Linked DNA regions of Schizosaccharomyces pombe. The gene in region 1 interacts genetically with each later gene. Each region holds a gene or a part of one and is shown in the gene's direction. Other genes may lie near its edges. The genes, in order: rex2 and upf1.

Evidence for each region.
Region 2: of rex2 (region 1) and upf1, a mutation in one rescues a mutant of the other (synthetic rescue), as found in Schizosaccharomyces pombe (one study listed by BioGRID).

Annotation. Positions count from the first base shown.
Region 1 is NC_003423.3:4,071,989-4,076,553, forward strand, and holds rex2 (RNA exonuclease), read left to right. Parts: upstream 1-1,579; 5' UTR 1,580-1,602; coding exon 1,603-1,777; exon of another isoform or gene 1,778-1,882; coding exon 1,883-1,963; exon of another isoform or gene 1,964-2,044; coding exon 2,045-2,130; exon of another isoform or gene 2,131-2,249; coding exon 2,250-2,315; exon of another isoform or gene 2,316-2,377; coding exon 2,378-2,728; 3' UTR 2,729-2,851; coding exon of another isoform or gene 2,852-3,733; 3' UTR 3,734-3,773; downstream 3,774-4,565. Other genes in the region: serine/threonine protein kinase (CK1 family) Cki1, read right to left, coding at 1-937, 1,021-1,146; rnh202 (ribonuclease H2 complex subunit), read right to left, coding at 2,852-3,733. UniProt on the Schizosaccharomyces pombe protein: 3'-to-5' exoribonuclease specific for small oligoribonucleotides.
Region 2 is NC_003424.3:800,330-805,823, reverse strand, and holds upf1 (ATP-dependent RNA helicase Upf1), read left to right. Parts: upstream 1-1,690; 5' UTR 1,691-1,736; coding exon 1,737-4,514; 3' UTR 4,515-4,683; downstream 4,684-5,494. Other genes in the region: DYRK family protein kinase Pom2, read right to left, coding at 1-828; Clr6 histone deacetylase-associated PHD protein-1 Cph1, read right to left, coding at 5,060-5,494. UniProt on the Schizosaccharomyces pombe protein: RNA-dependent helicase required for nonsense-mediated decay (NMD) of aberrant mRNAs containing premature stop codons and modulates the expression level of normal mRNAs. Also capable of unwinding double-stranded DNA and translocating on single-stranded DNA.

The DNA of each region.
Region 1 (4,565 bases):
CAAAAGGCTTTTCATAATCAGAGCGTTTGGAAACTACGTTCTGAGTACTTGCATGATTTTGCAGGGCTGGTGACTTTGATTCCAATTTGGGTGCTGGTGGTTTGCTTGAACGTTGATTTTCTGTCTCTGCGTTTCGCGACTTCAAGCTTTGCCAACCTTTACCGTTATTCAATAGATTCCAGTCAAAATTTTCATCCTCAGTAGTATTTAATCGCTCTAGGACTTTCGAAAATAGGCCTTGCAAATAATCATAATCTGGAGTAGCATCGAATGCCAAATTACGAGCATAATGCATATACTTGTAGAATTCTTCCGGGAAACCAGCACACAACTCGCGTAACGGGGTACTTTGCTTTTTCTCACCAATTCGTTCATATTTTTGCTTATTGGTGGCAGCCTTCAATCCTTGCCAAGGTAGGCTACCTCTAAGAAAATACATGAATACATGACCCAAGGCTTCCAAATCGTCTCGACGGGATTGCTCCCGACCCAAATGAGTATTAATAGACATGTAACGAGCAGTACCCGAGAGGTTCTTTTTCTCCCGGTAAGGTATGTGCTGTTTGGTAACTGGATCACGATAAAATTTTACCATGCCAAAGTCTACTACGTAGATCATATTAGCATTTTTACTGTTTGGTCGACCGATCAAAAAATTATCAGGCTTAATGTCTCGATAAACGAGACTCTTCTCATGGATAGATTGCACTCTTGCCAACATCTGTTTTGCGGCCATAGCAACTGTTTTTACACTAAATTTACGGCCGCAGAGATCGAGCAAATCTTCTAAACTTGGCCCAAGAAGGTCAATCACCAAAATGTTATGTAACCCTTCTTGGCCAAAATAATAAACATTCGGAATACCCGTACATCCTGCCAGCAACTTGTAAGTACGGTATTCATCACGTAATTGAGGAGCATCACTGCGTCTTGGTTCCTATAAGCAAAATCAATCAGTAATGAAGGAAACAAGAAAAATATCCAGCTTCAAAGCATGGCATCAAATGGATTCTCACTTACAAATTTAATGGCTACTTGTTGATTATTCAACAAATTCGTCCCTTCAAAAATAACACCAAACGAGCCTTCGCCAATTCTTCTTCCAACTTTGTAGTGGACACCGACTACATTGTTTTGTCCACTCATTATCTTTGAACGATTTGTGCTGGAGATTTGTCAAATATGATGTCTCCGTTTTCCGCTATCGAATGCAAAAAACTAGGTTGTAAGCGATTCCTGTTTAAATACTTTTATGAATTAGATTGAATCACAAAGATCTCCTATACAAACCTTGAAATTACAACTATTCAAGCCGTTATTGAGAAAAGAGGTGGATGGTGTTGGAACGGATGTTTTTAGTGGTGCTTTAGTTACGGAAGTGTCATGTGCATCACTTCCCTCTATTCCTGCCTGATTAAGGGGTTAGGTAATGCTGTCTTTGGAATACAAACACTGTTTCAAAACGTTTAAATAAACATACTATTACTAGTTTTCATTGCAAAAATCAATCGATAGCTAAGTTTTTAATTTTAAAAAATCCCGGATATTAAAATCCAACTTACAACGAAGTACTTTCATTAAGTAATAATACCGTATTTTCATATGCAAGGTGCATTCTTAAATAATAGAATCATTTTGCAGTCATATCACATTAAAAAACGCTTGTATAGCAAACGCACTAGCTCGTTGCATTCGCGCTTCTTGCAGCCAACATATCGCAAAAATATTTGTCAAATTTCCAAACCCATTTTCCAGCAAGACTTATCAACGAATACGAGTATGTTTAGATTCAGTCTATCAAGTTATCATTTCTACAATTTACATGTTTAAGTTTCTTTTTGTCGATGTGTACCTCAGTTTTTAAACTTTTACTAATATAAAGATTTCATCTCAAAATTGAAAAGTCCATTCTCCAACCTCAAAATGTCGAATTTAAAGCAGCCCCTTGTTTGGATTGATTGCGGTTAGTGAGCTTTAGTATAATCTTAGCTTTTAAAATGCATTACGATGGTTTTATAGGTAACTTGTACTAATATGATTGAAGAGATGACCGGGTTAGAGGTGGGAAAGCATGTATTGATGGAGGTCGCGGCAATCATTACTGATGGAAATCTTCGCCCCGTTGAAGAGGTAACTTTTAATTGTGAACATTGAAACATCGGCTTTTAACTTGAGATGTTTCAAGAGAAACAAATGCATGGTTTCGAAGTTGAGCGTTTATTAAGGCTGTCATACTAACTAAGGCGTAGAAATTTGATGCTGTTATTAAACTCGACGAAAAGCAATTGAGTGAAATGAATGACTGGTGTATTGAGGTATCTTTTCTTGCTTTTAGTTCATTCACGGATGTCAATTTTCTAATTATACTAATAAACAGCAACATGGGAAAAGTGGTCTTACGGAAAGATGTAGACAGAGTAATTTAACAGTGAAAGACGTTGAAAACCAGTTGTTAGCATACATTAAAAAATACATTCCAAAAAAACGAGAAGCGTTAATCGCTGGAAACAGTGTCCATGCAGACGTAAGGTTTTTATCTGTCGAGATGCCAAAGATAATCGAACATTTGCATTACAGAATTATCGATGTTTCTACTATTAAGGAATTAGCCAAACGCTGGTGCCCGGATATTCCTGCTTATGATAAAAAGGGTGATCATCGCGCATTGTCGGATATTCTTGAAAGTATTGGTGAACTTCAACATTACCGCTCTTATTGGCTTTCTTGAAACATTGCTCAAGAAAGAAGAATTCCACTTTTACAGCAATTGACAATATCTTGTAAACATGCCAAAAAAATTAAGGGTACTATGCTAAGAAAAAAATAAAAGCAAAATCATACCTCGGTGATCTTACTTTTTTGTAAAGAATGAAGATATTTTCGTCATTCCTTCTCCTGAGAAGTATTTGGACTTCTTGGTGGCCTGCTTCCGATTGGGCTTTTTTAAAAGACTTGATGTAATATCACTGTTTTGTGGACGTTTTTTAGAATTTAACAAAGCTTCCTTTTCTACCAAAATCTTTCTTGATTCTTCTAAGTTTTTAGTGTAAGCGTGCAGTGGGGCCAATTCTTCCTGCCAGTAGGCTAATTTGTTATACCATTCAGGTTGAAGATCTTCACAAACCAATGAAGCGGCATGCCACTTGCATGACAATTCTAGTAAATCTTGTGGAAGCGGCGTGCGGAGGTCCAAAGGCGCTAACTGTTTTTTAAGTTCGGTTACAATACTAGGGGGAAGATTTTCTTGAGCAACCTTGGCTTTCCTTAGTAAAATTTTAACAACAGAAGATTCATCCAGTTGAAAGGTCTTGGGCAAAGATCCTACTGGCTCGTTTACTTTACAAATCCGATGTAATGTGTTCAACAAATTCGGAGAGAGGACTTCTGACACTCGTGGATAATGAGGACCCATATTATCAAAGTGTTCAATGAAGTCTTCAAACGAGACATATCGATTCGGTTCTTTCCGGCGACTCCAAGTAAGTTCCTGAATGATTGGAAGCACAAGCGCGAGTAAGTCTATCGGGGTGCAAACATAGAGATATCCGTCCGATACTACATGATCCCCTACAAACCAAGACCTTTGTTTTGAAGAATCCCCAACTTGAAGGATTTGTAAAAGGTGATCGTTTGTTAATAAATAACGAAGTGGTCTCCCGGTCAAGGGATGTGAGAGTTCAACAAATTGTTGATTTGTAGAATCTTTGGGTAGTATGAATATCTTTCCCTGCATTTTTTAAGTTTAAATTATGAAACCCCAAAATTTGTGAGGCAATCACGTCTGAAACTTCGTACCACTATTTGCAACAAAAGTAAAAAATGCAAAGATATCAATTGAAAACAACTCTGAGTACTTGCAAACACAATTTTTTAATTAGAAAGATTTCGTTGTGTAACTTTCAGCTAAAGATGAGTATTTTGTAAAAGTATTGACAACGATTTGGGTATATCAAAATTTAAAACAGTGACGACTCTAGTTGTACATATACGAAAGAAATTAAGCATATAAAATTGATTGTTCCTCTTAAGATAATCATGAAGTTGATATAAAAGATGGCTGAAGTAAGAGGAGATTCGTACCGACTTTTTGTTGTCTGTTCAAGACACGTTGTTAGTCAAGAACTCCATCTTTATAAGAAAGCAGTACAAAAAAATGAAATGCATATTCTTAAAAAAGAAATATAACAGTCGATGTTGAAGTCAAGAGCGGCAATCTTAGTTATGAGAAATTCAATGGTAAACCACGGTAGTGAATTGAATAGAAAGCTTGCGGCTTCAAGTACCAAAAAAAAACAGCATTGGTTAAATTGAAAAGCCAAAGTATAGATATCCTTAATAAACTAATAAAATAGACATTGAGTATTTTCTCATCTTAATAATTGCTAGATTGACTATACTAACTGTTTATCACATCGAATTTTTTTTTTTTTAATGAAAAAAAACTGGTTGCGGACGTTATACATAAAGAGTGTATAATGGTGAACAAGACTAAGTCTACATGTTCTACTACGTTGATTGTAAAGTAATGAAAAACGTGAAGTACATTAGTTGAAAATTAGTGAAGT
Region 2 (5,494 bases), on another chromosome or scaffold:
ACTGCTCTGAATATTATTATTAAAATTGGATGGTTTCATTCGCGAAGCCATTCTTGCAGTATCATCAGCTCTTTTAGAATTTTTTCCGAGGGTTCTGGGTCCATTTACTATAGAAGACCGTGGTGAAGCAAATTGAGAACATTCATGGAATTTCGATTGTTGTGGATATTCATATTTGTTAGTTTCAGAAGATAATGTTTTTTTTTTGTTCATGGGATAATTCGTTCCTCCTGGGGTTTCATCTAGCTGATTAATAGTTTCTTCGTAAGCTAAAGTTTTTGTCTTGCTTAATTTGTTGAGTGGATGTCGGTTTTCGACTGTAGGGATGGTTTCATATTCTTTGCTGGAATTGGGATTAGCAAGCTTTTCTAGTACAATGCGACGGTTTTGAGATATAACTGGGTTGTCTAATTTTCCACTCTGTATGTTGTCATGAAGCGATGCATCTTGTAAACCATCCAAAGTACTCAAATTTTTATTCAGAAAGATTTCTTTTAGATCTGCAAAATGATGCAATCCTTTTTTCTGTGCCAAGTGTTCATCTTTAAAGGACTTCTCTTCTATTCCAACAGCCGATTTTTCTTCATTTTGATCGGGCTTGTTAGGCCTTTTCACACTATTTATTAATTCTGTAAGTATTTTGCTATTGTGTGAATATTGGCGTTGCGATAACAGAAATACGGGCTCTTTAAAAGTAGAATGAGCTCTTAGAGGACTGCATGTCTGTTCAGTCAGATTATTAGGAGAAAGGAAATTAGACACTGGGGCTGAGGAACTTTTACTCTCCTGTTTAGGCAGCGTTTCGCTTGTACTTATTAACCCCACCATTTATAATTGTTGTCGAAGTTGATTAACGTAAAGAAAGTAGAAAAATCAAATAATTAAAGGCACTAGCTGCTTAAACCAGGGTGGGGAAAAATGAAATGTTGTGAAACGAAAAATAATTTTAAAAGAAGGAATTAAACCCGGATTTGGAGAACAAATACTTACAAGTAAATCAACTTGTTAAACGCAGCATTCGAAGTCCCCTCTTTGAAGCCTCTTCAGTTCATGAAGAGTTTGCCGCTAAGCACCACATAAACTCCAAGAAGTTCAGACAATTAAGAGGCCTGAAATTCTTAAAATTATTTCAATTTGGATAGTTTCACACGGGCAGTTGTTGTATAGGTGGAAGTAACACACTCCTTGAAAAGTTCAAAATGGGTAACGGTACACTTGGTATGCTAACTTCCAGAGCGAGTAGATACAACTCTCATGTTAATAAATTTGTATAGAGTCCGATATTAAGTTAAAAATATCTGTTTATTACTTTTCGACAACTGTTAGTCAAAAAATTAATAGTCTTCAATATGATTGTTTACATGGTCTCAGCAACCGTTTATATAATTTTGTTTAATTCCAATAGTGAGCACCGATTTGTGTCACAATACTACAGTGCTCTACCTTATTTAGTAATCTATAGTACGACCAGCTGTTTCAAGAACGTAAATGATCATCTCGAAACTGACAAAATTTATCTACCCTGAATAGATATAATATCTTACAAGTAAATGAGTCTTGCTATTGTTAGTTTTTCCCATTAACGGCGTTTTTTGTTTACGTTTTAGGGAGCTTCCTAGCAGCACATTTTAACTCATTAAACCTCACTAAATGACTAACCTTTCTTTCTAAAAATGTGTTACAATTATTTACACTTTGCAAATTGACGGCTTAATAACATATCAAGTTGTCTTTCCATGTCTTTAGGGCTACAACCTAATAATGATATTTCATCTTTAGTTAGTTCAAAAAATATGACTTCTGAAAATGGACTAGAGCATCAATTTGAAGAATTATTAGTCGAAAAACAATATTCTGAAGAACACTGTGCCTATTGCCACATAAAGAATCCAAATTCTATATTGAAATGTTTGCATTGTAATAAATGGTTTTGTAATGTAAGAGGGAAATCTGGAGCTTCGCATATCATTAGTCACCTAGTTCGTGCTCGACATAAGCAGGTTGCTTTACATAGCCATTCTTCTCTTTCAGACACAGTACTTGAGTGTTATAATTGTGGAACGAGAAATGTGTTTCTATTAGGATTTATACCAGCAAAAGCTAAGACAGTGGTTGTTTTATTATGCCGACAACCTTGTGCTAGAGCTAGCATAGCTAAGGATATGAACTGGGACTTGACTCAATGGCAACCCATTATTTCAGATCGTCAGTTTCTTCCATGGTTGATAACTCCTCCATCCGAAGAGGAACAAAAGCTTGCAATCCCAATCACTTCACAGCAAATGGTTAGGCTTGAAGAACTTTGGCGTAAAGACCCTAATGCTAACCTCGAAGACTTGGATAAGCCCATTGAGGATGATTCATTACCTTCAGTAGAACTTCGATATAAAGATGCTCACGCGTATCAAGCAGTTCTTTCTCCGCTCATTCAAGCGGAGGCTGACTATGATAAACGACTCAAAGAATCGCAGACTCAAAAAGATGTTGTGGTTCGGTGGGATCAAGCTATCAATAAACGATATACTGCTTGGTTTCTCCTTCCCAAACTTGAATCTGGTGAAATTCGGTTGGCCATAGGAGATGAAATGAAGCTTACATATGAAGGAGAACTAAGAGCACCCTGGAGCTCCACAGGATATGTTATTAAAATTCCTAACAACGTTTCAGATGAGGTAGGTTTAGAACTGAAGCGTTCAGATAAAGTACCTATCGAATGTACTCATAATTTTTCCGTCGATTATGTTTGGAAATCTACTTCATTTGATCGAATGCAGACTGCTTTGAGGTTATTTGCTACAGACGGATCACGTCTTTCAAGCTTTTTGTATCATAAATTGCTAGGACACGATATCCCTCCTTCCTTCCTGAAACCAAAATTACCGTCTGATTTATCGGTGCCTAATCTGCCAAAATTGAATGCTAGTCAGAGCGAAGCTGTTCGTGCAGTATTAAGTAAGCCACTCTCGTTAATTCAAGGGCCGCCAGGTACTGGAAAAACTGTCACCTCAGCATCTGTAGTCTATCACCTGGCCACGATGCAATCACGCAAGCGTAAATCCCATTCTCCCGTATTAGTTTGTGCACCTTCGAATGTTGCTGTTGACCAACTTGCTGAAAAAATACATCGTACAGGACTTCGTGTCGTTCGAGTTGCCGCAAAGTCTAGAGAAGACATAGAATCATCGGTTTCCTTTTTATCTCTTCATGAGCAAATTAAAAACTATAAGTTTAATCCAGAGTTACAACGTTTATTGAAGCTACGAAGTGAAAATAACGAATTATCTATTCAGGATGAAAAAAAACTGCGTATTTTGGTTGCTGCTGCCGAAAAAGAACTATTACGTGCGGCTCATGTCATTTGTTGTACTTGTGTTGGTGCTGGTGATAGAAGGATTTCCAAGTACAAATTTCGTTCAGTACTTATTGACGAAGCTACACAGGCTTCAGAACCTGAATGCATGATTCCTTTAGTTTTAGGCGCCAAACAAGTAGTACTTGTTGGTGATCACCAACAACTGGGACCGGTTGTTATGAATAAAAAGGTTGCATTAGCTAGCCTTTCCCAATCACTTTTTGAGCGACTGATTATATTAGGAAACTCTCCTTTCAGATTAGTTGTGCAATATCGTATGCATCCCTGTCTTTCAGAATTTCCATCGAACACTTTTTATGAAGGTACTCTTCAAAATGGTGTCACTACTTCTGAGCGTATTGCTAGACATGTTGATTTTCCATGGATACAACCTGATTCGCCATTAATGTTTTATGCAAATTTCGGTCAGGAAGAGCTGTCGGCTAGCGGTACATCATTTTTAAACAGAACGGAAGCCTCAACGTGTGAAAAAATTGTTACCACATTTTTAAGAAGCAACGTGCTTCCTGAGCAAATTGGTATTGTTACTCCATATGATGGTCAGCGTTCCTATATTGTTCAGTACATGCAAAATAACGGATCAATGCAGAAGGATCTTTATAAAGCTGTTGAAGTAGCATCGGTGGATGCGTTCCAAGGAAGAGAAAAGGACTTCATTATTTTGTCGTGTGTACGTTCTAGTGAACACCAAGGTATTGGTTTTGTTAACGATCCAAGAAGGTTGAACGTTGCATTGACTCGAGCAAAGTATGGTGTAATTGTTCTCGGTAATCCAAAAGTCCTTGCTAAACATGCTTTATGGTATCATTTTGTCCTCCATTGCAAGGAAAAAGGATATTTAGTTGAAGGCACTTTGAACAGCTTACAAAAGTTTTCCTTAACCCTTACTCCTCCTCAGAAACCTCAAAAATTTAAAAGAGACCTCAATGTACAAAGATCACTATCTCCTATACAGAATGCCGGTTCTGCCATGTTACCTTCGTTTTCTAATCTTCCGAACTTATACTCTTCCTCGTATCTTGAAGAATGGAATGTCTTTGCTCAATACAAACGAAGAGAAAGCAACGCTACCGACTTTGAAGACTTTAGAAGTCAGGTTGGTGATGATGAAAGCAAGTTCGACGAACCTACTAGGTTCTAGTTAATAAGTATTTGCTTACTTGTAATTACGAATGCCAACATATCTTTTATTTGTTGATATTTTTGGTGTTCAAGTTTTATGGACCGTTTGGTCTGTAAGCGTTTTAAACCATTGATATGGCTGTTAAATAGACTTTAGTAATAGAACCTTTCCTTATCACTTTCTTTTATTTTATTCCTCTTTGTCTAGTAAATGCATCTTACTCATATATACTTATATATACTTATATATACTTATATATACTCACACGGTACAATACGCGTATAAAATTTAAGTATTGAGAAGTTGTTAGTATAAAATAGAACTTTTGCCCTATTAGGAAGGATTTGCAATGATTAATTGCATAACGAAAATTTTTTAAAAGCCTTAATGGAGAAAAGTAATGTAAAATAAGCCAATTACAACAGATAGCCAGTTCTAAGAGGTTTTATAAATACAACATTAGCAAAAAAATAACAGAAAACAACCTTTTCTGACGATTTGAACACGACAGATTAGATTAACGTAGTCTGATTTTATACAAAATGTAAAAATATCGTAAAAATTCAAGTGCGTGCCTTATTGAATAAAGTGCGTAGTGCAATAGGTAGGTTTGGGTGCGTTCTCGCAGGAAGTAGTGCGCTTTTTACGTCTGGAGGAATAACCTCTAACTCTCGTTTTTTCCTTTCATTATTAAACTTTTTAGCTTCTATGCCAATCGCGTACAAAAAATCTTTGATGAGACCGTCTTCTGAAACTTTGTAGAGACAACTCACGGGTAATCTTGGGAAATAGAGAAGTTCATCACTTGGAAACTCTCCCATAAGAAATTGCCATCCTGAAATCATGACTTTAGGATTAAGAGTATTAGAAGTTGTATCCAACACCAAGGGCGTCCTTATCACCACGGCGTTTTTTGGTACTCTCATACCTTTTTTTCCAATGGAGTCATGAGAGCATTTTTTAGCATGCTCTTTACAATTTTTATGATAGAAGGTGTC